Linked DNA regions of Oryctolagus cuniculus. The protein of the gene in region 2 interacts with the protein of the main gene of each other region in a biochemical or structural test. Links are inferred from orthologs where the notes say so. Each region holds a gene or a part of one and is shown on either strand. Other genes may lie near its edges.

Region 1 (14,563 bases), on a different chromosome or scaffold from region 2:
GGGTCGTTTTGCAGTTGTCACATAGACTTAGTGCGTGGGAAACGGGTTTTCAATAGCCGTAACTGGTACCTTTTACAAATAATGTTCAAAATGACTGTTAATGTGAATACAATATGGGATAGAACTGGTTAATTGCTGAGTGCTTAGAGAATCAGCTTTTGGCGTGGGTATAATTTGTAAAAGATTTCTTAACTGAGAGCTTTACGACAGCATTTTTAAAAAGGAGCAGTTCGGAAGCTGTTGTGTTTAGATTTATTTTTCAGCAGTAGCAGTAGCTGATGTAGTCAGTGCTAAGGGTTACACTAAACTTGAGCTTGTCAGGAAGACCCAGCCGTATGTAAGCAGAAATGACCGTTGCTGCCGTTTTTTAACGATGTTTTCTCTCTTCCTTCTCTTCCCGTCACCTTTTGCTTCCGTCCGTGTCTGGTTGTGGCTCTCCTGTCCGCCCTCCCCTCTGCCTGTCGCATCTGTCGCCCTCCCGTCTTAGCGTGGCAAGGCACTGACCTGATGCATAACCACGTCTTGGCTGATGATGACCAAGCAAGCCTAGAGCCCCTGGGGCGGCGCAGTAGCCTCTCTCGGCTGGAGCCCTCAGACCTCTCGGAAGACTCTGAGTATGACAGTATATGGACAGCCCATAGTTACAGAATGGGTTCTGCATCTCGTAAGAGCTGTTGCTCATATATCTCTCACCAGAACTAACGCACTCTCAGCCGTTCTTAACCAGCTTGTGGTACCGCAGCCTGCTTCTCTAGGTGTTTTCTTGCTGTCCCTCGTCTCCTTTATGTGACATTTTAACAACTCTTAGAGTGCTCCTGGTATTTCCCATGTACCTGTGGAGGCGTACTTGCCAATCCGAGTGTGCGTTCACGTTCCTGGCCACTGGAGGGGGACGGGGTGTTCACCCGAACATTCACGCCTCTACCTGAGGGTGCTTTCCTTAGTGGGGAGTTGTTCTGTAGCGCCTCAAGGTTTGCTTTTTTAATCCTCAGTGTAGCAGCTGCCTCTTTCTTTTTGGATACAGCTGTATGAACACTTTTATATTTTATACTGAAACACACAGGGCTGGCATCTGAGTGCCACCACAGAGGGGACGCTGGCCTCGTACACAGGGACCTAAATGAACACACTGACCCAGCAAGTGGTGGAGGGGGTGGGGGGTGGGAGGCATGGTGGCCGTGTCCCTGGCTGTGCTCCTGTGGCCATGTGGCATGTGTGTGGGCTCTGGGCAGTGCCAGCTCCCACGCGCTCCGAGCCTGTCTCGACCCCACTGCTCTGCTCTGCCGTGCGCGGGGCAGAGGAGAGGGTGTGGTCACGGCTCAGCCATCCAGGCTCGTCCTCACGCCACACTACTGCCTGCAGCCCCGCCCGAGCCCCAGGCTGCAGCGCTGGGCGCCTGCACACAGAGAGGCCTCGGTGACGACCGCCGTCGAGTGCCTTGGCCTCCGTCCTGGCGGGGCTGCGCCCTGACACGCCCCCGTGGGAGCCGTGCGCTCCGAGGAGGCTCCCTCCGGAAAGCCCCGTTCGCTGCCCTCACGCAGGCTGACTCCGCCTCAGACGCAGCTGAATGTGGCCTCGAGTCCACCCCCGGCCCTGGCTCGAGGGGCAGAGCGCGGGTCCCCCACGTGCTCTGTCGGTGTTAAAGTGCAGCCTGTGGCTGTGTCTGAAGGACGCGGGAGAAGCAGCTGCGGGAAACGAGGCGCCACACTGACGGGGAGTAACGTCTCTTCCTTTCCTCAGGGCAGCTGCGAGTGCAGGTGCCGGGACGCCGCCCCTCCTGCACCAGGCCCACGTGCTCAGTGTTGCGGTCTTGACCAGTGCTGTCTCCTGGAAGCTGGCCCCGCTGCTCCCAGGCCCCAGGGTGCTAGTGGACTTGGGCAGTGGCTCACTGTGTACCACGCGGGCAGCTCATTCTGCGTGGGACGAGGCCAGGGCAGAGTCGCCGGGACGGTGGTCACGCCCAGGTGTTTGTCCCCGCGTAGCCGCTGACCTGCTCTCCCCGCTGGAGATTGCGTATTTTTACACCAAGTGGCAGAAGCAGGAAGTTGAGGCAGGTGCGTGCAGACTCGGCCCAGTGTTGGTCTGCAGCATAGATGGGGTTTATCTGTGGTGCAGCCAAACAGCAAATGGAATTTTTGGAGAAATGCAACTTAGAAGTTTATATATTCACTCCAGACCGCACTATGGATTTAGAAGCGGCTGTGTTTTTATGTCACATAGGACAGCCATCTTTTCTGATCCTGACCGTGGAGTAACTTTGTGTGCTTAGGAACTGTAATAACTCGTGCACTGGCTTAGACGCCTTTGCCTTGCCTTAGTGAGCCTGGCCCCCCGACGCCCCGTGCTGGCTGCAGCACAGCACTGAGGTGCAGTCGCTGCACTTGGGTTTTCTTAGTGCTAAGTATCGTTTGGTTGTCTGACAGAGACATTTTAGTGAACTCCTACACACCAAAGTTCAGACAGTTTCCCATCATTCCTTTTTGTACCAGTCAGAACCATCCCGACGACGGTTTCTGTTGAGGGTAAGATCACCACAGAATACTAGCGTGAACTTCTCTTCATTTGTATTTGTTTTGAGTGTCTGGCACCATGAGCTTTTGTGACCTGGTGACAAGTTCTTGTGCTCCAGGTCCAGAAAGACGTCCCCGGGCGGCCGTGGAGCCGGGCGGCCCGAGGGCCGTGTTTCTGCTCCGTGGAGCTTCGGTCCTGCTGACGAGTGTCCTCTGTTCATGCAGTCCTGTGGTTGCTCCGTGGGCAGCCGGGGTCGCGCCGGCCGTGGGGCGTTGCCGCCGTTGCCGCCGAGCGAACACTGGCTGCAGGAGGACCCCAGGCTCTCTGCGCTGCGTGTTTTGCGTAAAATTGCAATACACAGCGATGTGTACATAGTGGCATCAGATCTGGAACAGAAGTCTGTATATACTGTGCTCTCTGTCTGTGACTGGGAAAAGCCATCTCTAGTACCTGACTCTTTGAAACCCGACTGGCTGTATATTGAATGTAGCATTGCATTGTACAGTGTGCACATTATCGTCTGTGGTTGCTATGACAATGAAGTGTTTGTTTTATATTTTAAAAAGACATCTGTCATGTACAGCTGGAATAAATTTTGCATTTGCTAGCCTGTGGCTTTCCGTGTTTGTTCGTGGCGGGAGGGAGCAGCGCAGCTGCAGTGCCGTGGGGTCGGCTTCGAGGCGGCCCCGGCTGTGCCGCGCTGTGCCGCGCCGCGCCGCGCCGGCCACCCTCAGCCATCCCCTCCTCCTTTTTTTCTTTGCTTTTTAAAGCGAATCCTCAGTCACCGGGAGGTTTTCTTCAGAAAGATGCGTCATTGTCTTTTGTGCGTAAGTGAAAAAGCGGCTCTTCCAGCGCGGTTTTGTTTCTGGAAAGTGCACGTCCAGCTGGCCGAGAGGTGGAAGAGGAAGCCAGATGAGAGGGAGAGCAGCCGGGGCAGGCGCCGGCCGCAGCCGCTGAGCGCTCTGGGGGTGCCGACTCGGGGTCCCCGCTCCTCCGACAGTGAGTGAGGGTCCTCCGCGCGAGCAGCAGCGTGGCGTGGCCCAGGGACGTCCGCAGGGATTCTGAGAGTGACCTCCCTTTCAGTCGTGCGAGCTCGGAGCAGGGAGGTGCCGAATGCAAGACGGCTTGCCGGCTTTGCCACACGTGCACTTGACTGCTGGGCCGAGGGGCGGATGCTCCCTTTCTGACAAAATGACGCTCTTTAGGCTTCAGCACGGGCAGACTCACGCACGTGTGCCCGCACGCCACACGCGTGCCCAGACCGATCTGTCTGCGGGGCTTAGTTGTGAAGGTAAGACGCGGGCCCCCGAGCTCCGGCGCGAGGCCTGCTCTGTCGCTGCCTGGACGGGACACGGCGTCTGAAACGCAGGTGTTTGGTTCGAGCTGTGCTTCCCAAACCAAGGCCCAGGTTCTTGCGGTGCCTCCGGCGTGTCCCCAAGCGCTGGGTCACGTCTGTGAGGGAGCGAGCGCCGAGCCCATGCTGGCCGGCGTCTCTGGATGAGCACGGTGAGCGGGTCCCAGCCTGCAGGCCCCTCCTGGAGTCCTGTGGCTGAAGTGCGGGCTCGGGTGTGAGTGCCCGTCACTGTGTGTCATTGCTCCCGCTCCCTCTGTCGGGGAACCGTGCCAGCCACGGCCAGCCAGCGGTGTGGCGCATTTCCGGCACGTCTCAGACCACGGCCCGAGAACCACGAGGCGTCCTCGGTGATGCCGGGAAAGAGAAGGCAGGATAGAGAAGGCCGAGTTAGAGTTCCGTGCGTATCTCTGGGCGAAGCTCACCAAAGCCTGGACCGTGCTGAAGCGCCTCGTGGCTCTCAAGTCGTGGCCAGAGGACACCACGCTCCCGGAGTGAGGCCGTGAGTCCTCTTGGCCCCTGGAAACCAGGGTTTGGGAAGCACAGGCCTCGGCCGTGCTGGAGCCGTCGGTGCGTGAGCACCTGCTGGCTCACCGGCAAGCCTGCAGCTGGCGTTCCCGCGCCCGTGCGACTCGGGGCCTCTGCCCGCAGTAGGACGCCCACAGTCGTCCGTCTTAGGGCCGCTCTGTTGTCATCAGAGTAACAGAACAACACTCAGGCGCCCGTCTCTACACAGGCTGGTTCCCGAGTCAGCCGTGCTACACGTGCACATTCACGGCTTTAGTCCCTGTCAATCAGCGCGGGGAACCTCCAGCCTTTGTCACTGGAGTTAATCGCGTATTGACAGCATTATTTAGATTGATCCTCGGGGGAGCTCCACGGTTCACCCGCTGTGAGGTGGGGGCTGGGTGGTCAGAGGCGGGCTCGCCCGAGGCGTGCAGGGCGCCCCTCGCTGCCCCGGGGACGTCTGTGGTCTGTCTCACTTGTCGTGGCAAAGCTGTAGTGCCAGGAAGCTAGAAGAGCCAAAGACGATGGAAACGTGTGGACTTGGGTGCACCCAGAGTGCATCTCCCGAGACCCTGTCCCGCCTGCGTCCTGTCTCCCCTGCGTGAAGACGCGGTGCAGGTTTGTGGGGTGGATTCGGAACTAACGCGCACAGCCTCAGCCGTCTGGACCCAGCCTGGACGGCGGGCAGCGGCTGCGGCGCGTTTCCCTCACGGGCAGTCAGGGAAGCGCTGCTCTCGGCGCATGTGCTGCGGACGGCTGGGTCTTCACGAAGCCCTTCGTGTCTCTGTGGGCCGGGGGCCCACGTGTTGATTCTTCCTCACACAAGCATCGCCCCGGGGGCCCACACGTCCCCACGGCACGGGGCCTGGGAAGATGCAGGCTCATCTCGTGCGGCTTCAGGGGGCCCGGGGTACCTGGAGGATACCCGGCTCCCAGAAGGGGCATCACCCTCCCCCCGGTCTTGCAGACCCTGTCTGAGACCCTGGGGAGACTGAGCTGCCAGCCAGAGGGGGTTCTTGAGCCCCGTTCCCTGAAGTCAGCCCCGTGCTGGGGTCGGGCTGGGGCTGGGGTGTGGCCTTGCCGGGCTGCCAGAGCCGCTGGCCGGCAGAAGCCAGTCGTGCACCGTGGTCATGCCAGCGTGAGCAGGAGGGCCAACCGAAGCCTGGACCTTGGGACCCCTGGGTGACCAAGGAGGGGCCGGCAGCCTCTGCTGCCTGAACGAAGTACTTGTGTCGGGAGGGTGGGGCCGGGAGACCTGCCAGGGCCAGTCCCTGTCCCTTGGTGCCACTGTGGGAGTCTGACGCTGCTTGCGTTCCGAGGAGAGCAGGCTGACCGCAGCCGCGGGGGATGCTCGTGGCCGTGAAGCCGTGTCTGCACAGCGCCCTCGGCGTCCGACGCCGGGAGCATGAGGCAGCCTGGAGGAGCAGAGCGAGTCTCCGCCTGTGAGTGCTTTTTCCTGGAGCAGCGTGGATCACAGCCCCGGGCCGCCTCCCGCAGGAGACGCCGTCTTCCCTCCAGCCTGTGTCTGGCCTTGTGTTTCAGAACTGCGGACGGTGTGTGTGGTCTCACAGCTGAAATAAAAAACCGCTGCTTCCTTGCCTCTTACTAAGACTTGGTTTTCTTCCCTCCACTTTGCAAATGAGTGTCAGAGTCTCCCAGTGCGTCTCAGCGGCACAGATCCGCACCGGAGCCTGCCCGAGGTCGGCCCGGGCAGGCTGCGTGCTCGGGTGCCGGCGCTGGGATCCTCCGGTGTTGTGAACAGCGTCTTTCATGTAGAAGAATGTGTATGTGTCCGGGAATAATAAAGTTTGTGTTAAAAAACCGGCTGCCGAGTGTCGCCTTTTTAGACACCGCTGTGATGTTGTCTGTAGTGTGCAGTGTGCCACTGCCGGGTGCTGAGTGGCAGGCATGGGGGGGAGGGGGTGTTGTCGGGTCTCGTGCGTCGTCCCGAGATTCCTGGGAGAAGGTGATGTCTCGGAATTTGTGACCTATGCAGACACTTGTGGTCAGAGCCTGTGGAAGGCCCCTAGTGAGGTTCAGGGACGCAGGTTTATGCATGTGACTCCCGGAAGGGCGGCGTGTGTGGGTGCGGGAAGGGCGTGCGGAGAGCCGCCTGTCTCGGGGGTCTGGGGGCGCAGCTGCTGGAGGTAGCGTCTGAGTCATGCTGTATAGTCAAGTTGTGTCGCCCAGCTGCCGCGTGGCGTTCACCTGAGCCGTTCTGTTTTTTATTTTCCCTACCCTAGGTTCACGCAAAGAATCTGCTCCACAAGTTTTGCTTCCAGAAGAAGAGAAAATTATAGTGGAAGAAACTAAAAGTAACGGCCAGACGGTGATGGAAGAGAAGTAAGACGTCTCCGCGTTCCCACTGCCCGTGCGGCTCGGGGGCGGAGGGCCAGTGCGGGCTGGGGCTGGGGGGCGGTGGGCCAGTGCCGGCAGGGGGCTGGGGGGCCGAGGGCCAGTGCGGGCTGGGGCTGGGGGGCGGAGGGCCAGTGCTGGCAGGGGGCTGGGGGGCCGAGGGCCAGTGCGGGCTGGGGCTGGGGGGCGGAGGGCCAGTGCGGGCAGGGGCTGGGGGGCGGAGGGCCAGTGCCGGCAGGGGGCTGGGGGGCAAAGGGCCAGTGTGGGCAGGGGCTGGGGGGCAAAGGGCCAGTGTGGGCAGGGGCTGGGGGGCGGAGGGCCAGTGCGGGCAGGGGCTGGGGCGCCGAGGGCCAGTGCTGGCAGGGGGCTGGGGGGCAGAGGGCCAGTGCGGTCAGGGGCTGGGGGGCGGAGGGCCAGTGCTGGCAGGGGGCTGGGGGGCCGAGGGCCAGTGCTGGCAGGGGGCTGGGGGGCAGAGGGCCAGTGCGGGCCGGGTGCTGGAGGGGTCTCCCCAGGCCTCTGCCCCCCCAGCCAGGCTGATGTCCTCATTCTTCTTCTGTCACAGGAGCCTAGTGGACACTGTGTACGCGTTGAAGGATGAAGTCCAAGAACTGAGACAGGTATGTCACTGTTGGTTTCGTGTGCGCACACATGTGTGTGTGTGTGTGTGTTCAATGGGAAAAAAAGGAAAAGCCCTCTGCAGATTAAAAAAAGGACCACGAGGAGATGGTGTCTGTCGCATCCGACCAGTGCAGCGGTGGCTCTGGGCGTGTGGCTGGGCCCGGTGGGAGCTGGGGCGTGGCCCGTGGGGACACTTTTGAGCCGAGGTCTGTGCTGTCGGAAGCCATCTGTTGGGATAATTTAGAACTCAGATCCTGCCCCCGAAAACTCCATGAGGTCCCTGATTCGTCTGTGCGGGCACATGGGCCAGTCAGCAGCATGTGTCACACTGGCCAGGGGTGGTATTGATGTGTATATGTGTGGTGTGTGCATGTGTACACATGTGTGCGCGTGTGTGGTGTGTACATGAGTGGGGTGTGTGATGTGCATGTGTGGGGTGTGTGCATGTGTGGTCTGTGGTGTGTGTTCACGTGTGGTGTTTTCACATGTATGGTGCCTGCACGTGTGTGGTCTCTGTGTGGTGTGTGCAGCGTGCACATGTGTGTACATGTGTGTACATGTGTGTGAATGTGGCATGTACACGTGTGGTCTGCATGTGTGCATGTGTGGCCTGTGTTCACACGCGTGTGGTCTGAATGTGTGCATGTGTGTACATGTGGTTGTGTGTGGTCTCTGGTGTGTTCACACGTGTGTGGTCTGAACGTGTGTGCATGTGTGTACATGTGGTTGTGTGGTCTCTGGTGTGTTCACATGTGTGTGCATGCATGCGCTGTGTGCACATGTGTGTGCATGTGTGGTCTCTGTGTGTACGTGTGTGCATTTGATGTGTGCACACGGCCTGGGTTCCCTGCAGAACCTGGAGAGGGAGGGGTAGGGGAGGTGAAGGCGGCAGCGACGCCGGGGCCGGGGTACAGGGTCCCTGTGGTCAGCCGTTCCCAGGGACGTCCATGGCATTCCCGGCCGCTCCCCGCCCGGTGTGACCCGGCAGGTCTCAGCCCCAGCATCCGGCCCAGCTCTGTGTGCTCCAGGCGCGTTTCAGTGCCGCGTGGGGCCCAGCTTAGCCGCACAGGCGGGCTCGTGGCCGCCCCTGCCCCTCGCGTTGGTGACTGAGGGCCTTGTCCTCGGGGGGTGCCGGGGCCAGAGCTGTCCACCACATCGTCGTGCTGCGTGGACTAGGCCTCGGGCAGCCCCGGCTGGGTTTCAACTGCCGAGGCCCCGGTCCCCGAGAGTGCGTGCGGGGAAGGGCAGCCCCGGCCGGGTTTCACCCGCCGAGGCCCCGGCCCCGAGCGTGCGGCTGGTGGCTGAGGCTGAGCGCTGTGGTGTGCCCGGCCCCCAGGACAACAAGAAGATGAAGAAGTCCCTGGAGGAGGAGCAGCGGGCCCGCCGGGACCTGGAGAAGCTGGTGCGCAAGGTGCTGAAGACACTGAACGACCCGGCCTGGGACGAGACCAACCTCTGAGGGCCGGCCGCAGCGGGCCGCACTCGGGAGGCGCAGGCGCCCAGGGCCCCCGGCACCGCCTCCTGCCGTAAGTGCAGAACCAGTGCAGAGCCCGGCTTCCCAGACTGTTGGGATGTGACGGACACGCGTGCCCTGCACCTCCTGCCCCCGACCGCGGACCTGCGTGCTGCGACTCCCTCCCCACACGCCTTCCTGGCGGCCTGCACCCCTGCCGTGCGCCCACAGCCTGACCTCAGACCCTGTGCGCAGGCGCTGCAAGCCCGCGGAGCGGCCGCCCAGAGACCCGGCCCCCACGCCCCGTGGGCTCCCGGGCTCTTCTGTGGCCGGTCTGACCACTCCACGCTGCACGGTTCCATCCTCCCCCGAGAGTTCCAGCACTTGTAAATAGAATGTGTTATTTATTGTGGCCCCAGCAGAGGGAGGCAGCCGGCCTGGCCGCGACGCTGGGAGCTGCTCCCAAGGGCGGGCTCTCCCTCCAGGCTGACTGGGCACAGCCCCGCCCGTGCGAGCCGTCCCCTCGGCAGAAGCAAAGCAATACACAGCCCAGTGCGGCTCAGTGACTGCAGCCCAGAGGCCCCACCGGGGCGGGCAGGGCAGGGAGCCGGCCTCGCCCAGCTCTGCGGGCCTTGGGCCTGGGAGGCTGTGGGCGCTCCCGGCCGGCTGTCCCCTCTCCCTTGGCAATAAGCAGTGGTGACCCAGGGCCTGGCCGGCCTTTCCCTCCTGTGTCGGAGATGACGGAACCTCCCGCAGAGCAGTTGTCGTGTCTCTAGAGACCTGTGTGACAGCGGACGAGACCGCGTGACTGCGCCTGCTGAGCCCTGCCTTTGACCCGGCAGCCTGGGGGTTGGTTCTGTCCCCGCACCCCTGCTGACGAGGGCACCTTCTCCTGCCCCAGCCCTGCGGCTGCGCGGCCCCTAACCCGAGTCGCCAGCGCTCTGTGTTGGCGTTTTCTACCTGTCTGTCTTGTCTTTTGGTGAGCTGCTCTCCCAAGCGGCTTTCTGGTGTTGCCCAGGACGTGCGGCAGAGGCGGGGGCTGTGTGCCGGCAGAGCCGCTGTGCCCAGCAGGCGTTAACTCAGGAACAACTGCCCCGCCCCCCGTGCCTCTGCCAGCCGTCAGCTGTGGTCTGTGGCCGGGGTGGGCCCCTCCAGAGCCTGCCTTAACCGGGGAGGAGGGCCGGTCCGTGTAAAGCCTCCCCTGAGCTGAGCCGCGCTCACCGTGGCGGCCGTGGGCCCAGCGCCTCCTGGATCAGAGACGGGTCTGCAGGGAGGGCTGCCCTCTGGTGCGCGGCCCTGTGCCTGTCGCCCAGTGACCTCCGGAAGGGGAGGAGCTGGCGTGGACGGGCAGGGGTGTGTGGCCCACAGCTGTCCCTGCGGCAAGTGAGGCCGGGCGGGCGTCTCTCCCTGCACGTGGGAAGCACTTCCTCTTGGAACCGGCGTAGAGATGTAGCATCCGGGACTTCCCGGGCCCCGGGCACCTGCCTGGGCTTGTCCTGGACTCTGTCCATGCCAATCATTCTCTCCACCTCGGGGACCTTGGACGGCATGGAGCAGCCCCTCCTTGCTGTCACAGACCATGTCCTGGTGTCGACTGCTACAGTGTTCGCGCTGCGTTGTTGGAATCATTAAACTCGTTATTTTTCTTATGTCACAAAACGGTCCTCTCGGTTGTCTTTGGCGAGTCTGACGCGTGTGTGCCGCCCTCGCTGTTGCCGTTGGCTTTTTGAGATCTGGAAGCTCCGGTGTGGGTTTTGATGCCAGAGAGATACCGCTGCCGCCTGAGAGTGTGGACGGGAGACTGGGAGACGGTGGACGTCCAGGCGGCTGGGCCTTCGCGGGGGTGGCTGGGAGACGGAGGACCGTTGCTCGGGTGCCGGTCATTCGGCCAGGGCGAGGTCCTTCCTGAACGGTGAGCGGCTGCAGTGCCGCCCTGCGCCCGGGGTGGCCCAGAAAACCCTGTCCTGCAGGGCCCTCGCTGCCGGGGCCGTCATCTTGGAACATGGGCGTCGGCGGGGGGCTCGGGAAGTGCTGTGGGGATGCCTCTGCCGGCCTGGAGGGGCGTGTGTCGCCGGCCGGTCTTCAGACGACACTGCCGCTTGCGTCTTTCCCGGCGTCCAGGGGCCGGCAGCCACGTTCCCCCAGGTGCAGCAGCGAGGCCCAGGTGGGCCGAGAGCCCGGGCCAGCCCCGTCCTGGCGTCGGCCTGGGTGTGCTGGTGATGGAGGCGCGGGGAAGGATGGCCACGGGGACCCGGGACCCTGCGAGGTCTCTGTGTTCCCCGGGCCTGGCCGAGGTGCCCTGGGGACCGTCTCATCGCCAGCCCACAGGAGGCCAGCGTGGAAACTCGGAGGTTCCATGGTGTCAGGCACGCGAGCGGTCGTCTGGGCTGTGTGCTGGTGAGGTGTCCAGCGGCTGGGCCTTGATCTTCCTGCTCGTGGAGAAGACCGGGACGTCCCACGAGGATGGAGAAACTGCTGTCACCCCCGAGCCTTGTCCTCACCCTGCAGGGGCCGCCGGTGCCGAGCGAGCGAGTGCCGTGGCCTGGCGTGTGCGTGTGCTTGCACGTGTGTACACGTGTGTGTGGGTGCGTGTGCACGAGTTGTCTGCACCGCAGGCGTGGCCGTGTTGGGCCCTTCCACTCTCACTCCCTGTGGGACTGGCTCGGTGGCTCTGAGAGGGACGGCCGCTGTTGCAGAAACGCACTCTGACCACCCTGAACACGCAACCCCAGGTGTGCCGGCCTGTGGCTCGGGGTTTCGTCACCGCTCGGGACATCCGGGCCCCATATTGGGCGAGTGGTGCAGGTCCCGGCTGCTCCTGAGCCAGTGTCCTGTGAGTGCGGCTGGGAAGCCGTGGAGGGTGGCCCAGGGGCCTAGGCCCCGCCCCCACGCGGGAGACCAGGGTGGGGCTCCAGGCTCCCAGCTTCAGCCTGGCCCGGCCCTGGCCGCTGTGGGCCTCGGGGGAATGAGCCGGCAGGTGGGAACTCTCTCTGCCTTTCAGATAAAATGGAAACAAATAAAAAAAGTGAAAGGCCTGTGTAACCGTGAGACCGTAGCTGCATGGTTACTTCCAGAAACGTCTGCTTTAGGAGCCACGTCCTGGACAGTCCAGGTGCTCGGAGACGGGGACATCCCGGGGTCGTTCAGAGACTCTGAAAGGAAATGGAACTGAAAATGCTGCTTTTGTTGCAAAAAAGTTGAAATCCTTTAGGGTTTTCACAAGAACGTGTTTTTGATGAAGTTTTCCGAAGACCTCTCTTACGCATGGATTGCAACATCACCTGCACCAAAACCAAGTTTCAGCTCCGCGTCCCAGGAACTCTGCACTGCCCTGTAGGCGCGGCCCGAGGCGTCCTGCTCTGCCGCTCGCTCGGGCTGGCGCCGTGGACGCCTGGGGTGGGCCATCGGGAGGGGCGGGCTGTGACCTGTGCCCTCCTTGCCTCCGGCTCTGTCCTCTGAGAATTACCGGTTTGCAGCGACAGATGCCAGCCCTGGGTGTGCAGCCGCGCCCTGCCCAGCCCTGCCCTGCCCTGCCCTCAGTGTGCAGCTCTGCCCTGCCCAGCCCTGCCCTGCCCAGCCAGTGCTTGTGCAAACACACAGGGCTGTGTGGGCCGCCTTGCCCCCAGCTGCTGGCTCATGGTTGCCTCAGCTCCTGGCTGTGGAGACCACTGGATGGGTGTGACCCGGGGGTCTGCACCGTGTACATCTCAGGCAGGAGGGGTGATGGAGTGAGAGACCCAGAGGATGTGGTTTTGTGCCAAGAAAACAAGCAGTGGCCCCGAGGTCCAGCAGCCCTCTGTGCGGACGAGGCCGTGATTCAGGTGCACAGTGCTTCCAGAACAATCCGCGCACACAACTGCACGGCCACTCGGCAGCTCTGGTCCTCGTAAACCCAAACACACGCCCCCTCCCCCGGCCTGCCGCTGGCCTCCCCTGTGGGCTGCAGGGGAGAAGTGGGAGCGGGGTCTTCACCGGGGTGGCACCGGCTGTCCGTGGCGCCTCAATGGTCCAGAACGAGGCACGGGCGGCCCACGCCCCTGCTCACGTCTGCATCCTTGCAGGAGGAGCCTCTCCCGCCCCTCTCCCCTAACAGCCAGATGGAAAACACGCTGGTGACTCTGCAAATGTGAAGGTAGAAGCAGGAAAAACTGCGTACAGAGATATCCAGGGGAGATGGAGTTAGAAGTCTATTCTGGTATAAATCCACGCACAGCTTTTCCGTAATCCATGCTGGCCGTGAGCTTCTTGAAGACCCCCAAACGTAGTGACAGATGGGCCGACGCGTGGGTGGGCAGGACAAGCTCTGCTTGTGAGACGAGCGCGGCCCCCTGAGGCAGCTGGTGTGTGGGGTGCACACGGACCCCCTTGGCCCGGAAGCGCTGAGTTCTCGCCGTCTCGTGCACTTTCTCAAAGGCACTGGGCAGAGGGCACTGCCCCGTGTCGGGGTGGGGGCCAGGGTCTGGTGCCCTCTGGGGTGGAGCCAGGGACCAGAAAGACTGGAATCTCACAGGTCCTCTAAGGGGAGTCCTGGTGGGACATGGCTCCGTCGCAAACAGACGTGGAAGAAGGCGGGGGCCTCCAGGGTGTGTGTGTGTGTGAGAATCTCCCGTCCACCCCTGGAAGAGCGTGGACGAAGAGCCCCGTGGAGCTGCCGTCACGGAGCTGTGCCGTGGAGTGTCCGTGGTCAGTGCAGTGGGAAGCGGCTGTGGTTTTGGGGAGAAGACAGGAAGAGTAATGCAGGATTCAGAGTCTGGGTGCATGGCAAGGGGTCACTGCAGGGGGGAGGGACACGGGGAAGGCAGGGTGGAGGGCAGCGTGGCTCCACGGGACACACGCCCAGGCCTGTGGTGGGGGCTCCACTCCAGCTCAGGGTGGGGAGGTGGTCGTGGGCTGACCCAGGCTCGCCGACCACCTGGGTGACCCTGGGGCTGCCACACAAGACCAGAGATGGCAGGCACAGCACGTTCCGAGTGAGGGCTGCGTTTGCAGAGGGGCGGCCCCGATGCGGCGGGATGCCGGCCTGGGACCACGGGCACCGTCTGTGTGCTCCAAGTCGGCTCCAGGTGGCCAGAGGGCCCCTCGGGACCCTGGGAGGGCGGCGTGCAGCGCGCAGGCCTGGGGCTGCCTCGTGCCTGGCTCCGGTCAGCCCTGACCCTGGGGACGCTGTCTCCCAGGATGCCACTGCTGCCCCGTCTGAGGTGTTGCTTCTGTTTGTGGCCTGGGGCCAGGGCTGTTCCTCATGTGCACATCCAGCCACAGTGGACAGGGCTGGGGACTCCGAGCCATCCACAGGTGAGCTAGAGAGGGGCGCTGGCCCTGGGCTCCAGGCCAGCTCGCGCCAGCTTACACAAAGCAATGCTGGCATCCGAGGGGTCCTGAACCCTGAGGGAGAACTGTGCACGGAGGCCAGCTGAGCTTCTGAGGTCCTGGCCAGGTGGCCCGACGGCCAGGCCCAGGGCCCTCGGCTCTGTGGAAGGGAGGCCCCTTCGGCTGGGCGGAAGCAGCAGGTGCTGGGAGGTGACCTCAGACCCGAGTCGCAGCTTTGGTCTTTGGTGTCAGGGGAGGCAGGTGTCACTCACAGTCTGGATTCCCCTGGAAACTCTGAATGAGACTGTGTATCGGAGAGCTGTGTTGTCGCTGGATCGCCAGTCACCCTGGCTACCAGACACCCTGCGTCTGGGCGAGCGTCCGCATCCCGGCTGTGGCTGAGGGAACCCCCCTGAGAATCGTGGCCTGGACCTGGTCCTCACCCCACGCCCAGGGCCCCA
Region 2 (15,226 bases):
ACTTGAGTCATCACCTGTTGCTTCCCAGGGTCTGCACTGCCAAGACGCTGGACTCAGGACCCAGAGTAAAGAGGTAACTCCAAGCACTCCAATATGGGATGCAGGTATCTATCTTAACCTCTTGGCCAAAAGCTCAGCCCACCTTGTCATTTTATATAAGGGATTTGAACATCCAAAGATTTTGCTATTCCCAAATAGAAAGGGTGTTCTGGAATCAACCATGCACAGATATCAGGAACAACCATATTTAATTTAGCAAAATAGTTCTTATTAAAACAATGTTAACATGCAGTGGCTTGTAATATTTAATTTTTAAATTTGTTTTCATTTCTAATAAAAAGAAATCTGATAGATAACTCACATACACCAAAACTCTTAGGAGTCCTCAATAACTTATAAAAGTATCAAGGGATTCTAAGACCAAAATGTGTAAGAACAATGGCCTTAGGGCTCCTACACCGTAACGGAATGAATCCTCCAACAAGCAAATGAAATATGTAAGGCACTCTGCTCAAAGTTGTCCCAGACTATTCTACTGATGTTCTGACCTATCATTTATTTTTTTTTTACTCTGATTGTGCGAAAGCCATACATTTCACTTCAAAATTTGAATTCTGGGGCCATGGTTTTGCCATAGCATGTAAAGCCACAGCCTGGGACACCAGCATCCTATATGGGCGCTGGTTTTTGTCCTGGCTGCTCCTCTTCCAATACAGCTCCCTTTAGTGGCCTGGGAAAGCAGAGGAAGGTGGCCCAAGTGTTTGGGTCCCTGCGTCCACGTGGGAGATTCACATGAAGCTCCTAGCTCCAGGCTTCTGCCTGGTCCAGCCATGACTGCTGCGGACATCTGGGGAATGAACCAGTGGATAGAAGCTCTGTCTCTTCCTCTCTATATATAACTCTTTCAAATAAATAAAATCTTTAAAACAAAATTTGAATTCTGATCTTTTCCCTGGTTAGCAACATGCAGCACAATAATCTCTGACGACACTGGGCAGCAGTAAACCACAGCAGCTGGCTACACAATCATGAGGAGAAACAACCAACATTCTACAAAATACTGTGTCACCAGAGTTTTCTGCATACAGGTATTCAATGAACTACACAGGATGACCAACACTTCATTCTAAAATAGGCTTGTATTAGGTGATTCTGCACAACTATAGGCTAATGTAAGAATTCTGAGCACATTTAAGGTAGACTAGGCTAACTCATGAAGCTTGGCAGGTTAGGTGTATCAAATGCCTTTTTGACTTAACAGTACTTTCAAATTACAATGGGTTTACTGGGATGTAACCCTGCCACAAGTTAAGAGCATCTGTATTTTCTGAATTATTCCATTTGCCTTCCATTTTTCTATAACTTTACTATCATGTCTTATTTTCACAATCTTATAATGCAGTTAATTTACTTTTCTCATCACTTCCAAGACACCAAAAAGGTAAGAAACACCTCACTACAAAAGTAAATGGACTTCGAATAATATATTTATGAATAATGCTCAAGACTTTATTATGCTTGTTTTGATCACTTAAGATGTCCTTTTTAAGGTATTTCTAGTTCTTCTACATTCTTTTAAGAATTACTTATTTTATTTATTTGAAAGGTGGAGTTACAGAGGCAGAAAAAGAGAGGTCTTCCATCCACTGGTTCACTCCCTAAATGGCCACAATAGAGCTTCTTTCAGGTCTTCCACATGGGTGCAGGGGCCCAAGCACTTGGGCCATCTTCCACTGCTTTCCCAGGCCATAGAAGAGAGCTGGATCAGATATGAAGCAGCCGGGCAGCCAGGACCAGTGCCCATATGGGGTGCTGGCACTTCAGGTGGTGGCTTTATCTGCTACACCACAGTGTGGCCCCTCTACTACACTCTATATATATCTAAAGTCATAGATGTATAAATAATATCCAGATAAGTAGCTTATTTTATTAAGTTTCAGATATTTTTTAATGTCATATACTTTCAATTATAAAGACTGGTAAGGAAGGTCTTTACCCATGGTGTCAGGAACAAAATTTGAAGTGACAATAAAGAATGTGACAGAGTTCCAGTGCACTTATTTCATGAAAGCAGAAGACAACTGTAAATTTTAGACACAGACAAAAAAGACATCCAACTTGAGAGGTAGGAAAAGAGACAGGAGCAAAAAGGAAAATGGAAAGTGCAGAGCAGTGTTTGTATGTTTAAAGAGATCAAAAGCATAAGGTAGAAGGGGGTTATAGAGGGTCTTAACATGTAAGAATATATGACCTGATATGACCGAAACAGTTAATTCTGGGGACATTAAGGATGAACAAGATAATTGAAAAATGAAATTCAAATAAAAAAGTATACATTAATATCAAGCTTAATTACAGTTATGTACACTGAGCTGGAATGCAAAAAGAATATTCAGAATTCAATGGGTTAAGTCATCATCTATGATGTCAGCAACCCATGCAGCTGCTCCACTTCCAACCCAGCTCCTTACTATATGCCTGGGAAAGCAGGAGAGGGTGGCCCCAGGGCCCCTGCGTACACGTGGAAGACTTGGATGAAACTCCAGGCTTCAGCCTGGTCCAGCCCTGGCCACCACAGTCATTTGGAGAGTGAACCAGGGGACAGATCCCTCACTCTCTCTTTCCTTCTCCCTCTCTTTTCAAATAAATATATTAAAAAAGAAAAAAAGAATTAAATGGGGCTGATTAAGTACACTTATACTGCATGTTATGAACAGTTTATTTAAGGGAAAAACATAGTCTGATAAAGTTTGGAAAAGAGAGGAAAAAAAATACAAATAAGAAACAAGAGACCAATATGGAAAAATAGAGGAAGTAAACAAACCTAACTACAAAAATAGGAAGCCAGGGGCCAGTGCTGTGGTGTAGTGAGTAAAAATGCCACCTGCAATGCCAGCACCCATGAGTGCTGATTCAAGTCCCAGCTGCTCCACTTTTTAACATTAACTTATTTTACTTGAAAGTCAAGAGTTACACAACGAGAGGAGAGGCACAGAGGCAGAGAGGGAGGGAGGGAGGGAAGATCTTCCATCCACTGGTTCACTCACCAATTGACCGCAACAGCCAGGAGTCAGGAGCTTCTTCCGGGTCTCCCACGCAGGTGCAGGAGCCCAAAGATCTTCCACTGCATTCCCAGGCCACAGTAGAGAGCTGGATTCAAAGTGGAGTAGCCAGGACTCGAACCAGCGCCCATCTGGGATACCGGCAATGCCGGCGGCGGCTTTACCTGCTGTGCCACAGTCCCAGCCCCTGCTCCACTTTCAATCCAGCTCTCTGCTATGGCCTGGGAAAACAGTAGGAAATGGCCTAAGTGCTTGGGCCCTTGTACCATGTGGGCGACTGGAAAGAAACTCCTGGCTCCTGGCTTCTGATCAGCCCAACTCTGGTTATTGCAGCCATTTAGGGAGTGAAAGAGCAGATGGGAGATCTCGCTTTCTCTGCCTGTGCCTCTCTGTAACTCTGTTTTACAAACAAAATAGAGGGGGCCGGCGCTGTGACATAGCAAGCCACCTCTGCAGTACTGGCTGTGATCCCATATGGGCGCCAGTTCGAGTCCCAGCTGCTCCACTTCTGATCCAGCTCTCTGCTTTGGCCTGGGAAATCAGAAGATGGCCCAAGACATTGGGCCCCTGCACCTATGTGGGAGACTCAGAAGAAGCTCCCTGTCAGTATGCCTGGGAAAGCATTAGAGGATGTCCCAAGTCCTTGGACTACACCAGAGTGGGAGACCTGGAAGAAGATCCTGGCTCCTGGCTTCAGATCAGTCCAGCTCTAGCCACTGCAGCCATTTGGGGAGTGAACCAGTGGATGGAAGACTTCTCTGCCTCTCTGTAATTTTACCTTTCAAATAAATAAAATCTTTGAAAAATGAAAAAAGAAGCTATCATTTATTACCAATACTTCAACATCATCAAGGTCAAAAGTAACTGAATTTTAGTGATTTACCAATGATACGTCTCTATAGTCATCACTTAATTAACAGCACACAATGAAAATCTGGCTCCCATATTTGAACCTCTGTAAGCTTTTTATACATAAATTTTTGTTACAGTTTAACCTCAAGCGGCAAAGTGATTCTGTAACTTAGTACTTTGAATTGGTGGAAGTTCTGAAAACTCATGATTACCTTCAACAAACATATCTTTTAAATTGTATTCTGTGCAAATAAGTAAACACATAATTTATCCTAAGAAAGTCTATACAACACTAAGAATACCCAGATCCTGAAGTCACTTAAAATATTTTAACTGACTGCTTTTCTAAACATCTCTTCAAACCTCACATTTTAAACAAAATTTTGGAATATACAGTTCAACAGTGCAAAACCTAAAATTTAGTCTGTTAATGCTAAGTAACAGAATTTTAAGTAAACCACAAAGAAAGTTATGCATCATTAAGAGGTAAAAAGGAACCAAAGATAATTACAAAAGTTAACACCTCATTTTTAAAAATGTGTTGCCTGCCTGCAAACATACCATTCTTCTCCAGGAGGAGGGGGGAAACCAAGAACTTTATCAAAAATCAGGTGTTTAGTCATTATCAGGTGCTACAATAATTTTTACATAAAATTTATGAACACAAATACCTTTGTAAAGTGGTAATTCTGGGTCAAACTTGCTCTATTATGGCTTTGTTGCTCTGAGGCCAAGTATGAACCATATAAGGAAACTGAAGTTCAATGTCATTTATTTTGTTCCATTCTTTCAGATGCCCAACAACAACCTCCTTTGCTGCCTAATACATGGTCTGAATTCATAAAGTAGATCAGCTGTGCACTTTAAATTCCTTGATAAGGCTAATTTGGCTTAAAAGGAATTATATGATGGTTCACAATTAAAAAAAAAAAACAGAAATCACACTCTCAGAAAAAAAAAAAAAACAAAGCAATACAGTTAAAAGTCTCCCATTTTGAAAAGTACTTTTAAAAGACGAAGTAGCAAATATCAAGTTGTGAAATAATTTGATCCTGATTTTAAAATTTACCTTTTCTCTCTGAACGGAAGTCAGCTCTTTCTCCTGGGGTTTACAGTAATTACTTTGCTAGTATTTGATAAACTAGGCATCGATTTATATTAAAATGATTCCACAGATGATCATATTTTCTTAGCATTTACTCACAAATACAATATTTTTTCACTACCTTTACCACAAAAGTACTGGGGAAAAAAATAAACTTAAGACACTAAAACGCCGCTGAAAGCAGGGAGTGGGTTTGCCATGACCCAAACGCGTTGACTCTAGGAAGTCTACCCATTGGCTCAGGGGTGTTCAGAGCTCTGCCTGCTGCTAGTAGGTCTGTCACGCTTCACGGAGTCCTGCCCCACACTAAGTTCCTCTCCCTTATTAGGCCGAACCGAACGAAACATTTGGGCCAACACAAAAATCTAAATATCCTAGTATTCAAAGGCACAGCTTTTTTTATATCCCAATCAGTGTGGTTCCCAAGAAAATCTTTGAAGCGTTTTACTTCCCTCCCTACATAGTCAGTGCTGACCTGCACGGCAGTCCGAGCAAATCAAGCTGCGTTTTAATTACACACCTTCATCTGTAATCCTCACTCCCTCCTTCTCCATCCTAATGGTTCAGTCACAAGAAAAGTCTAGCAGACGCTTGCTTTCAATTAATGAAGGAAATATTTTAGGAGTCAACACCTGAAAAGGACAAGTTAACACACGTGAAAAAAAAAAAAAACATTACCTGCCCTGAAAACTAAAGCTGGCAAAAAGTTGCTTGTCCCTAAAATCCAATAAACTAGACGCAACAAGGCTCTGAACCAAAAACAGTCTCTGCGCGATGAACTCCAAAGCCAAAACCATCGCTATCAGCACAAACAAACGCGGCAGCCATCTCAACAGCCGCAAATCGACGGAACTTTCCTCCCAACCAAGTCGCCAGACAGGAGCTTCGCACACCTCGCAGAGGCTCCAGAAAACGAAAACTTCTGGAGCTCGCGCTCAACAAAGGCACTCTTTCTCCAGGCGGCCCAAACTTCCCGTCCCACTGCATTCTTACCATCGCTTCTACACAAACCACAGCCCAGATGGCAGACCGGGGCTTAAAAAACAAAACAAAACAAAACACACACAGCTCTCCCACTTCACCACCTAGAACACTGTGCGCTCCGATCCGAGCAAAGAACTGACGGAAACTTGGGCAAAAGGATCGCCCCTTTTCCGGTCCGTGCACTGTGTGTCTTCCAGACGCTTCTCGCGAAAATTACCTTTCGGCCGGACGGCGTCTCAGGGCTGCTTTTTCCAGGCTTCGCTGCCCATGATTCCCTCGCCCGCGTTAGTCACTTCGCATCCAGCCGAGTCTCTCCGGTGAGAACGGATGTGCAGCGGCCGCCCGCAGCAGCAGAGTAGGCTGCCCGGGTGGGGGTTGGGATGCGGGCTGGCTTCCTGGTCTCGAGTTTGCAGGAGTTTCCCAGCCCCAACTAGGATCTCCGCCGAGAGGAGGAGGAAAAAAAAAAAAAAAAAAAAAAACTTTTTCACTCGTGACACCGCCCGGAATTGCCGTGCGAAACTCACTTCCTGCCTCGGCGCAAGGCAGGAGCCAGCTCCGTCCAGGGGAACCCGGAACCCCAGCGCGCGCGCCGCGGAGGGGGAGGGGAGGCGCCGTCGGCCGGGCCCCGCGCGCCCCGCGCCCCCGACGGCGGCGGCGGCGGCCGAGACGCCGCCCGGGCGCTCGGCGGGCCGCGGCCGCGCTAGGCCGGCCCTGCTCCTCGCCGCCGCCCCCAGAGCCGAGCGGCCGGTTATTGTCTCGCTAGCGCCTGCCGCGCCCTTCGCCCGCGCCGCCGCCGCCGCCCGGAGCCGAGGGGCCGGGCAGGCTCGATGGCGGCGCCCTCGTCGGGCCGGCCGTCCTTCTGTCCGTTCCTCGCAGCGTTCCCTGCTCGCCCGCCTCTCGCTTTCCCGCCGCCGCGCCGCCACTCCCCTGCTGCTGCTTCTTCCCCGGCGGCGGCGGCGGCGGCCGCACGGGGCGCGGGGCTGGGGTGGGCGGCAGCCCGGTCCTCCTCACGAGTTCGCGGGGCCGCGGCGGGGGCCGAGGCTGCGTCCCGCGCCGCCGCGCCACCTTCGCTCGGGCGAGAGACGGCGAGGGGAGGGGCCCGGCGGGAGGGAGCGGAGAGCGACGAGGAGGAGGAGGAGGAGGAGGAGGAGTGGGGCTGGGGCGCAGGGGAGTGACCGCCGCGCAGGCCGCGGCGGAGGCTACGGCGCCACCGCCCCGCCGGCGAGGGGGGAGAGGCTGCGCGCGGCCGCGCGGCGGAGGGGGCGGGGCGGCCTCCCGCGGGCTGCGCCCCAACCGCCCACAGCCGGGCCGGAGGCCGGCGCGAGCCAGTCAGCGCGCGCGCGCGCGCGGGGGCCGCGCGGCCGACGTCGGCGGCGGGGGGCGGCGGGGCCTGGGGGGAGGGGCCCCGCCGTCCGCGGGTTCGCGTGCCGGGCGCGGCGTGAGGCCCGCTCGGGCGCCGGTCCCCGGGGGCCTGCCTGCGGGCTCCGTGACCCCCCGCGCACGCCGGCTCCCCAGCCCGTGGCGAACGCAGACGACGCCGCCGACCTCGGCCCGGGAACGCAGAGCCCTCAGGCCGCCGCCGCCGCGCTGGCCGGTTGAGTTTCTTTGTACACAGCGGCCGGTGCGCCGGGGGCTGTTCGAGTCCAGCCCCGATTTGCAGGCAGCAGGTATCCGCTGCGGCCGCTGCACTCCAACTTCTTGTAATGGCACGCTCGGGTTGCAAGCCGCCGCCGCAGCGGCCCAGCCGAGCTTCCCACGCCAGCCCTCGCTCGCTCGCTGGCCCCGCCGCGCAGCTGGGGCTCCTCCAGGGTTCGGCCTCGCACCGGCGCGGAGACAAAGCTGGCGCTGGCCGGGGGAAAATGGCCCGCGAAATTGCCTCGAGCTCGCGCCTTTGTTAGAAGAAACGCCGGCTGCCCTCTGAAGGCGACGCAGGCTCCCCAGCCCAGTGGTTTCGGTGGCGCAGCGGTTGGCTTGCGCTGGCCCTCGTAATTCATCCTGGCGGCTTTTGCGTTTAGAGAGAGACTCTTTAGCGTCCTGTCAACACATACGGCATAGAGAGCGTGAGCCATAATATTGCACAGTTGTTGCAGTTGCCGCATTAAATATGTTGACAGACGGCCTTGTTTTACCCGGAGGAGGAGCGGAATGGGTACGGGGAGACCTTCCCTCCACCCCCGCCTCTGCTCTGCTTCACTGTGTACAGCGATGGTGCTTTGGGCCCCAGGTCCCCGGAGGCACTGGTTCAGGTCTTCCGTCTGTATTCCAGAGATAATTGCTTATTATCAAGTTTGAGTAAAGAGCTATATGCCCTACAGACAATTCTTGGCCTGCATCCAAAGGGAAGAATTCATAAAGTGCACAAAGAATTACTTACCTAAATGAGTTGTGCACAAGTGACAAACACTGGAGATAACTCCGGTCAGCTTTTAAGGGATGGGAACATTGTCACTGCTCCCAGAACTGCTGGCATTGACACAGGTATTAGTCCCTTGGTGTAGAGCCTAAGTTGAAAATTAGCACCAAAATGTACAGGTACATTTAGTGCTGAAACAGAGAGGCTAGAGCATAAACTGGAAGCTAAGGAATGGCAAGCAGGCAGGTATGCTAGTAACACCAAGCTCGGTATCTATTTTATATGAATATTAATCGTAACCATTGCATAAGAAGCTAAAGTTAGCATATTATACAAGCTATTTTTAATTGTCGCACTTTGGAAAACTAATGAGTCTGATCAGAACTTAGTGGCATAGCTCTGAACTAAAAATGTCACCCGCCTAAAGCATACCAGGATGGAGTGACTCCCATACCCGTGAGCAACCAGCAGGACTTTGGCATTCCAGGGTCCCCCCCCCCCCCACACACAAATGTGATACCACGGATACAAATAAACTTAACACCCTTCCCCAGAACCTAAATAAAGAAGACCAGTCCACATCTAGGATAAGGATTGCCCTGATTCTAGCCTTTTTGACTTAAACTAACACTCAGAATCAACTTGGCTAATTACCATTGGGATTAGAAAGTCTCTATAACCAAAAACCCCTTCTCCAGTTCACCTGAAATTCTGCCATTAGAGTTTTATCCCTTTGAGTAGTTTGTTTCTCCAAAGCCATAATCCCAGGAAAAGTAATGGTTTAAGCCCTATTTATCCCTAATTCATCAGATGGTCTCCCTAAAGCAGCTTTTGATGGTAAGGAAAAGTAGAGAGAACATATGCTGATGCTGAGTAGATAGATAAGAGGAGAAAATGTGATTTCATTCCTTGGAGCACTATTTGGAAAGTAGAGGCGAATAGTTAATGAAATAACCTTCGTTTGATTGTTACGTCCAACTTGCTCTTACCCAAACTCCAGCATTAAGAGGATGGAAGCCAGGAAACACTTATCAGGAGCTGTCTGTTCTGTGAGCTGGTTTGCTGGCAGTCCCTTCTGAATTCTGCATTGGTGTTCATACAGAAGAGTGAAATGATGTTATATGATCAAGGCATCCAATACTCAGAAATAATGACTCATTTGTGTTACTCATCATTGACTACTTAGTTATAATTCATATGAACAGCACACACAGATACAGCTAAATCTTCCATTGGTTCTTCTTTACAAAGTGTTCCTGTTCCATACTTGTACTGAATAGTTTCCGTTGAAAACCCTCCCATAGGACCTTGAACTAAGATGGACTCAACTTTTTGGTTATGATCAAAACAAGAGCTGAATCCCCTACCCCCACCCTGCACCCTCAACAAGGCTGCCTATGAGTCTGTAATGATTGAGTGATATCTGGGACCAACTTAGAGAGCGAGCTAATAGATGTTTTGCTGATAGGGCATCTTCATCTTCCCCACTGTGGGACTCTAAATAATTCTCTGGGAAAGGGAATCTTTTCTTTGGGATTCTCCTTCCCAGTGGCTGGGCTCAGGAAAGTCATTACTGTCTGATGCAGGTAAGCTGCTTCCTGTGGAGGAAAGCCTCAAGGGACCCACTAAGGGGAATGAGCCCCAAGAAAGGGCCAATCTACTGTTTTGCGGGCATTTGGCCTAGTGCTTAAGATACCTGTTTAGACCACCTGCATCCCCTATCACACTGGGTTTGAGTTCTGTTTCCAGCTCCTGAGTCCTGCTAATGCACACCCTGAGGCAGCAGGTGACAGGTGATGGGTCAAGCTGAGTCTCTGCCACCCATGTGGAATCTTGGTTGGAATTTCTGTCCCGCCTTCCAGCTAGTCTCAGCTGTTTCAGACATGTAAGGAGTTAGCCAGCAGATGGAAGCGTCCCTCTCTCTCCCTCTCTGCCCCTCAAATCACGAAAAACAACGCTTGAAAAGGGTCCCCCGGCATTGACACATGCCAGCCAAACAAAAGATAGCAGAAGGCAAGGAAAGGTGTGGGACAATTCTTTTCTCCTTTTCTCAACCCCTAAAGCCAAAGGTTTTATCAAAGCGGTGTTTGTGGAAAATAGATCTTCAACTTAGAATAGTGTTAGATTCAAAAGAAGTCTGGAAGCATTGGATCAAATAGGTCAAGATGCATTGTACCATGTATTTTTAATAGGAATGTGATGTCCTGTGTCACTTTCAGCTTAGCCACTGCCAGAGCTGCCAGGAGGGTAGGAGGGTAGGCTAGAGAGCGGAGACTCTTGGGCGTGAAAAGAAGCACCCGTGCAGGAATCAGTGTTACGCTCCCGTGGTTCTACCTTTCAAGCATGTTTTCAGTGTTATTTTATGAATCACAGGGAAAGTCTGCCTCTATTTGTGCAAAACTTTCTGAAAAGTTTTAAAATCTTTTTCCTCTAGTACAGTAGTTCTCCCCCCTTATCTGCAGGGGACACATTCAAAGAACTCCAGTGAATTCCTGAAACCACAGATAGTGACAAAGAACTATATATATATATATATATATACACACACACACATATCTATATATATGTTTTCCTGCACATACATACGATGATGAAGTTTAGTTAAAATATAGGCACAGTAAGAGATTATGATAAAGCTAACAATAAAATAAAAAAAATAACAATTATGTGAAATGTGGTCTCTCTCAAAATATCTTATGTTGTCCTTAGCCTTCAACTTGAGGTTATATGAGATGATACAATGCCTACATGAAAAAATGGAGTTGAACAATATAAGCATTGCGATATAGCTTTGGTGTACTAAGTAAGGGTTACTGGAACACAAGCACTGTGATACTTCAATGGTGGATCTGATAACCAGTTTAGCTATTCAGTGATTAATGGTTGGGTAGCATATACGGTGCAGACACACTGGACAAAGAGATGATTCATGTCCTGGGCAGGACAGAGTAGGTTGATTTCAGCACACTACTCAGAATGGTATAAACTTGAAAATTAATGAAGTGTATTTCTGGAATTTTCCATTTAATATTTTCAGACCATGATTTTCTGAGGGTAACTGAAACTATAAAAGCAAAACTGCATATAAGCAGTGGTAGGGGGAAGGACTGGTGTGTAAGCTTGATAATCTTTTTTTCTATCCTGTACATTTTTGTTAACTGTTAAGGTTAAATTTATTTCAGATGTCCTATACATGTTTTCTTTTTTTTTTTTTTGTCCTATACATTTTTGAAAAATAAATAATGTTATTTGTGTGACTTCTGAAACAAAACTGCTTGAATTAGAAATTTCGCTGCTGACTTTTTTGGACAAGTTCGTGAACACGTATGAACATGAACTTGAGCTTCTTTTGCTCTAGAATGGGAGACATAAGCATTTATTTATTTATAAACTACCCTGTAGACTACTGAGAGAACAACAGGGGGCAATGCTCATAAAGTGCTTGTGCACAGTGCTTGGCACACTCAAAACTGTCAGCTATTATTCGTAGTGCAATTTAAATGCACTGATAATACATGCCATGCATGATAACATGTACCATCTTTTTAAAAATTTTTAAGATTTATTTATTTATTTGAAAGGCAGAGTTACAGAGGGGCGGGGGGGGGGGGGTCTTCCATCCACTGGTTCATTCCCCAGATGGCTGCAACGGCCAGAGCTTTGCAGATCAGAAGCCAGGAGCAGGGAGCCCCTTCCAGGTCTCCCACATGGGTGCAGGGACCCAAGCACTTGAGCCATCCTCTACTGCTTTCCCATGCCTTAGCAGAGAGCTGGATTGGAAGTGGAGCAGCCAGGACTCCAACTGGTGTCCACACGGGATGCCGGCACTGCAGGCAGCGGCTTTACCTTGCTACGTCCCAGCGCAGGCCCCCATGTGCCATCCTTCCTAAAACAACTAATGTCCATCATCCAAACTAAGATACCTTGTGAGTGAAATCTATACAAGCAACAAATGTAAATGAGGACTGTCCTAGCCCAACTGGACAAATAGTCACCTTAATAATATTCAACTCTGTTGCCTTCTTCCAAGTCATTCCTTTCTCCAGTACTCCCTAGTGAGAATCAAAATTTATTTCTATCATATTACAATATGCATATTCCACATCATAGCAAATGGTAACCTTCTTTGGGTAACAAAATTGCATTTTTCCTACTCATTTAATCCCACACTTAAGATACTTTATTTGAGGAAGCAAGCATTTGGCACAGCAGTTAAGGCGAAGTTTGGGACACGTGCATCCCATATTAGAGTACCTGGGTTTGGGTCCTGGCTCCAGTTCCTGAGTTCATCTTACTTAATACGTACCTGGGAGACTGCAGGTGATGGTTCAAGTACTTGGGTGCCTTCTAGCCATGTGAAAGACCCAGATTAAGTTCCTGGCTCCTAGCTTCAGTTGATACAGCCTGGATGTTGTGGGCATTTGGGGCCTGAACCAGTACATTAAAGCTCACTCTCTCTTTCTCTATCTGACTTTCAAATAAATTTAAATAAATTAATTAAATTTTCCCATAGCATTTTATTTTTAAAAACTAGTTAGCATAAATAATATGAAAGTGTTAATATTGATATATGGGTATTAAACATAATTTGAGGTGTAGTAAGGGTAATGCCTTACTCTAAAATGCAAGCCAGCTATATTACAAGAGAACTTTCTTTTTTAGTTAGGCATCATATTATTCCTATTTCAAAGTAAAAGTAACTATCTATTTGATCAAAGACTACCAAATAATCACCAGAATGCCGGATAAATCTCATCTAAATCTTGTTTAATCAGTTTTTAAAATTTTTTTTAATTTATTTGAAATGCAGAATTAGAGAAAAAAAGGGAGACACAGAGAAAGAGAGATCTTTCCTCTCCAAATGGCTACAACAACGAGGGCTGGGCTACGCTGAAGCCAAGAGCCTGGAACTTCATCTGGGTCTCCCACATGGGTGGCAGAGGCCCAAGCAGTTGGGCCATCTTCTACTGCTTTCACAAGTAGGGAGCTGCAATGTAAGTGGAGCAGCCAAGTCTCAAACCGTTGTTCATGTGGGATTCCAGTGTCAAAAACTATGGCTTAACCCGCTAGACCGCAATGGCAGCTCCTGATCAGTATTTAGAAAATGATCTTTGTCAACTGGATTTTCTAAGATAATGTTAGAGGTGGGCATTTACAGTTACCCACCTCCCACAGAGTACCTGGGTTGGAAATCTAGCACTAGTTCCTGAGTCCAACTTCCTACCACTGTAGACCTAGAAAGTACCTGCGATGGCTCAAGTAATTGGGTTCCTGCCACCACCCCCACGGGAGACCTCAATTGAGTTCTTGGCTCCTGGCATTAGCCAAGCCCAGCCTTGGCCATTGCGGGCACTCAAGAAATGAACCAGCAGATGGGAACTCTCCCCCCGCCCCCGTCTCTGTTTCTTTGCCTCTCAAATAAATATACAAAATTTTAAAATAAAGCCAAATAATTCCAGATATATTTTAATGCCCATACTTTCTTCCCTTGGAAAGAACATTATTTTCTAAAAATTAGCTACAAATTTTGTTTTAAAAAATGCTGACCTAGGCCGGTGCTGCGGCTCAATAGGCTAATCCTCCGCCTAGCGGCGCCGGCACACTGGGTTCTAGTCCCGGTCAGGGCGCCGGATTCTGTCCCGGTTGCTCTTTTTCCAGGCCAGCTCTCTGCTGTGGCCCGGGAAGGCAGTGGAGGATGGCCCAAGTGCTTGGGCCCTGCACCCCACGGGAGACCAGGAGAAGCACCTGGCTCCTGCCATAGGATCAGCGCGGTGCGCCGGCCACAGCGCGGCAGCCAGCCGTGGCGGCCATTGGAGGGTGAACCAACAGCAAAGGAAGCCCTTTCTCTCTGTCTCTCTCTCTCACTGTCCACTCTGCCTGTCAGAAAGAAAGAAAGAAAGAAAGAAAGAAAGAAAGAAAGAAAGAAAGAAAGAAAGAAAGAAAGAAAGAAAGAAAGAAAGAAAGAAAGAAAGAAAGAAAGAAAGAAAGAAAGAAAGAAAGAAAGAAAGAAAGAAAGAAAGAAAGAAAGAAAGAAAGAAAGAAAGAAAGAAAGAAAGAAAGAAAGAAAGAAAGAAAGAAAGAAAGAAAGAAAGAAAGAAAGAAAGAAAGAAAGAAAGAAAGAAAGAAAGAAAATTCTGTCCTGGCTCTGCTCGCAACACCAGCATTCTGCTAATGCACACCCTGCAAGGCAGTAGGTGATGGCCAACGTAACTGAATGCTTACCACCCACAAGGCAGACACAGATGGAGTTCCTGGGCTTCAGCCTTGCCTAGCCTCTACCACTCAGGGCATTTGGGGAGTGAATCGGTGGAAGGGAGCTGTCTCTGTCTAAGAGAGAAAAAGAGAGAGGGGGAAAAAGGAGAGAAAGAGAGAGGGGAAAAGGAAGGAAAGAGAGGGAGGGAGGAAAGAAGGGAAGAAAGAAAAGGAAAGGCAGGAAGGGAGGGAGGGGGAAGGAGGAAGAAGGAAGGAAAGGAGGAAATTTAGAATAAACTTAACATTTGGATAAAAAGACTTTCAAGTCATAAATCTATGCTCACTTCTGTCTTTTTTTTTTTTTTTTTTAAGGTGTATTTATTTATTTGAACGAGTTATAGAGAGAGGGGGAGAGACAGAGAGATCTTCCATGCACTGGTTCACTCCCCTATGCCTGTAATGGCTGGAGCTGTGCTGATCTGAAGCTAGGAGCCAGGAGCTTCTTCCGGGTCTCCCACACAGGTGCAGGGGCCCAAGCATTTGGATCATCCGCTGCTGCTTCTCCAGGTGCATTAGCAGGGAGCTGGATCAGAAGTGGAGCAGCTGGGACTCGAACCAGTGACCATATGGGATGCTCACATTGTAAGTGTTGGCTTAACAGCTCCACAGTGCCGGCCC

Evidence for each region.
Region 1: the proteins of ERBIN (region 2) and ARHGEF7 interact in a test that uses a peptide from one of them, tested with the Homo sapiens proteins (2 studies listed by BioGRID and IntAct). The link is inferred for Oryctolagus cuniculus from reciprocal best matches to the Homo sapiens genes ERBIN and ARHGEF7.

What each region holds. Positions count from the first base shown.
Region 1 is NC_091440.1:2,002,501-2,017,063, reverse strand, and holds the end of ARHGEF7 (rho guanine nucleotide exchange factor 7), read left to right. Parts: intron 1-487; coding exon 488-664; intron 665-6,612; coding exon 6,613-6,712; intron 6,713-7,286; coding exon 7,287-7,341; intron 7,342-8,678; coding exon 8,679-8,801; 3' UTR 8,802-10,454; downstream 10,455-14,563. UniProt on the Homo sapiens protein: Acts as a RAC1 guanine nucleotide exchange factor (GEF) and can induce membrane ruffling. Functions in cell migration, attachment and cell spreading. Promotes targeting of RAC1 to focal adhesions. May function as a positive regulator of apoptosis.
Region 2 is NC_091445.1:86,857,669-86,872,894, reverse strand, and holds the start of ERBIN (erbin), read right to left. Parts: upstream 6,483-15,226; 5' UTR 6,221-6,482; intron 6,190-6,220; exon of another isoform or gene 6,016-6,189; coding exon of another isoform or gene 6,013-6,015; intron 5,652-6,012; 5' UTR 5,546-5,651; coding exon 5,540-5,545; intron 1-5,539. UniProt on the Homo sapiens protein: Acts as an adapter for the receptor ERBB2, in epithelia. By binding the unphosphorylated 'Tyr-1248' of receptor ERBB2, it may contribute to stabilize this unphosphorylated state.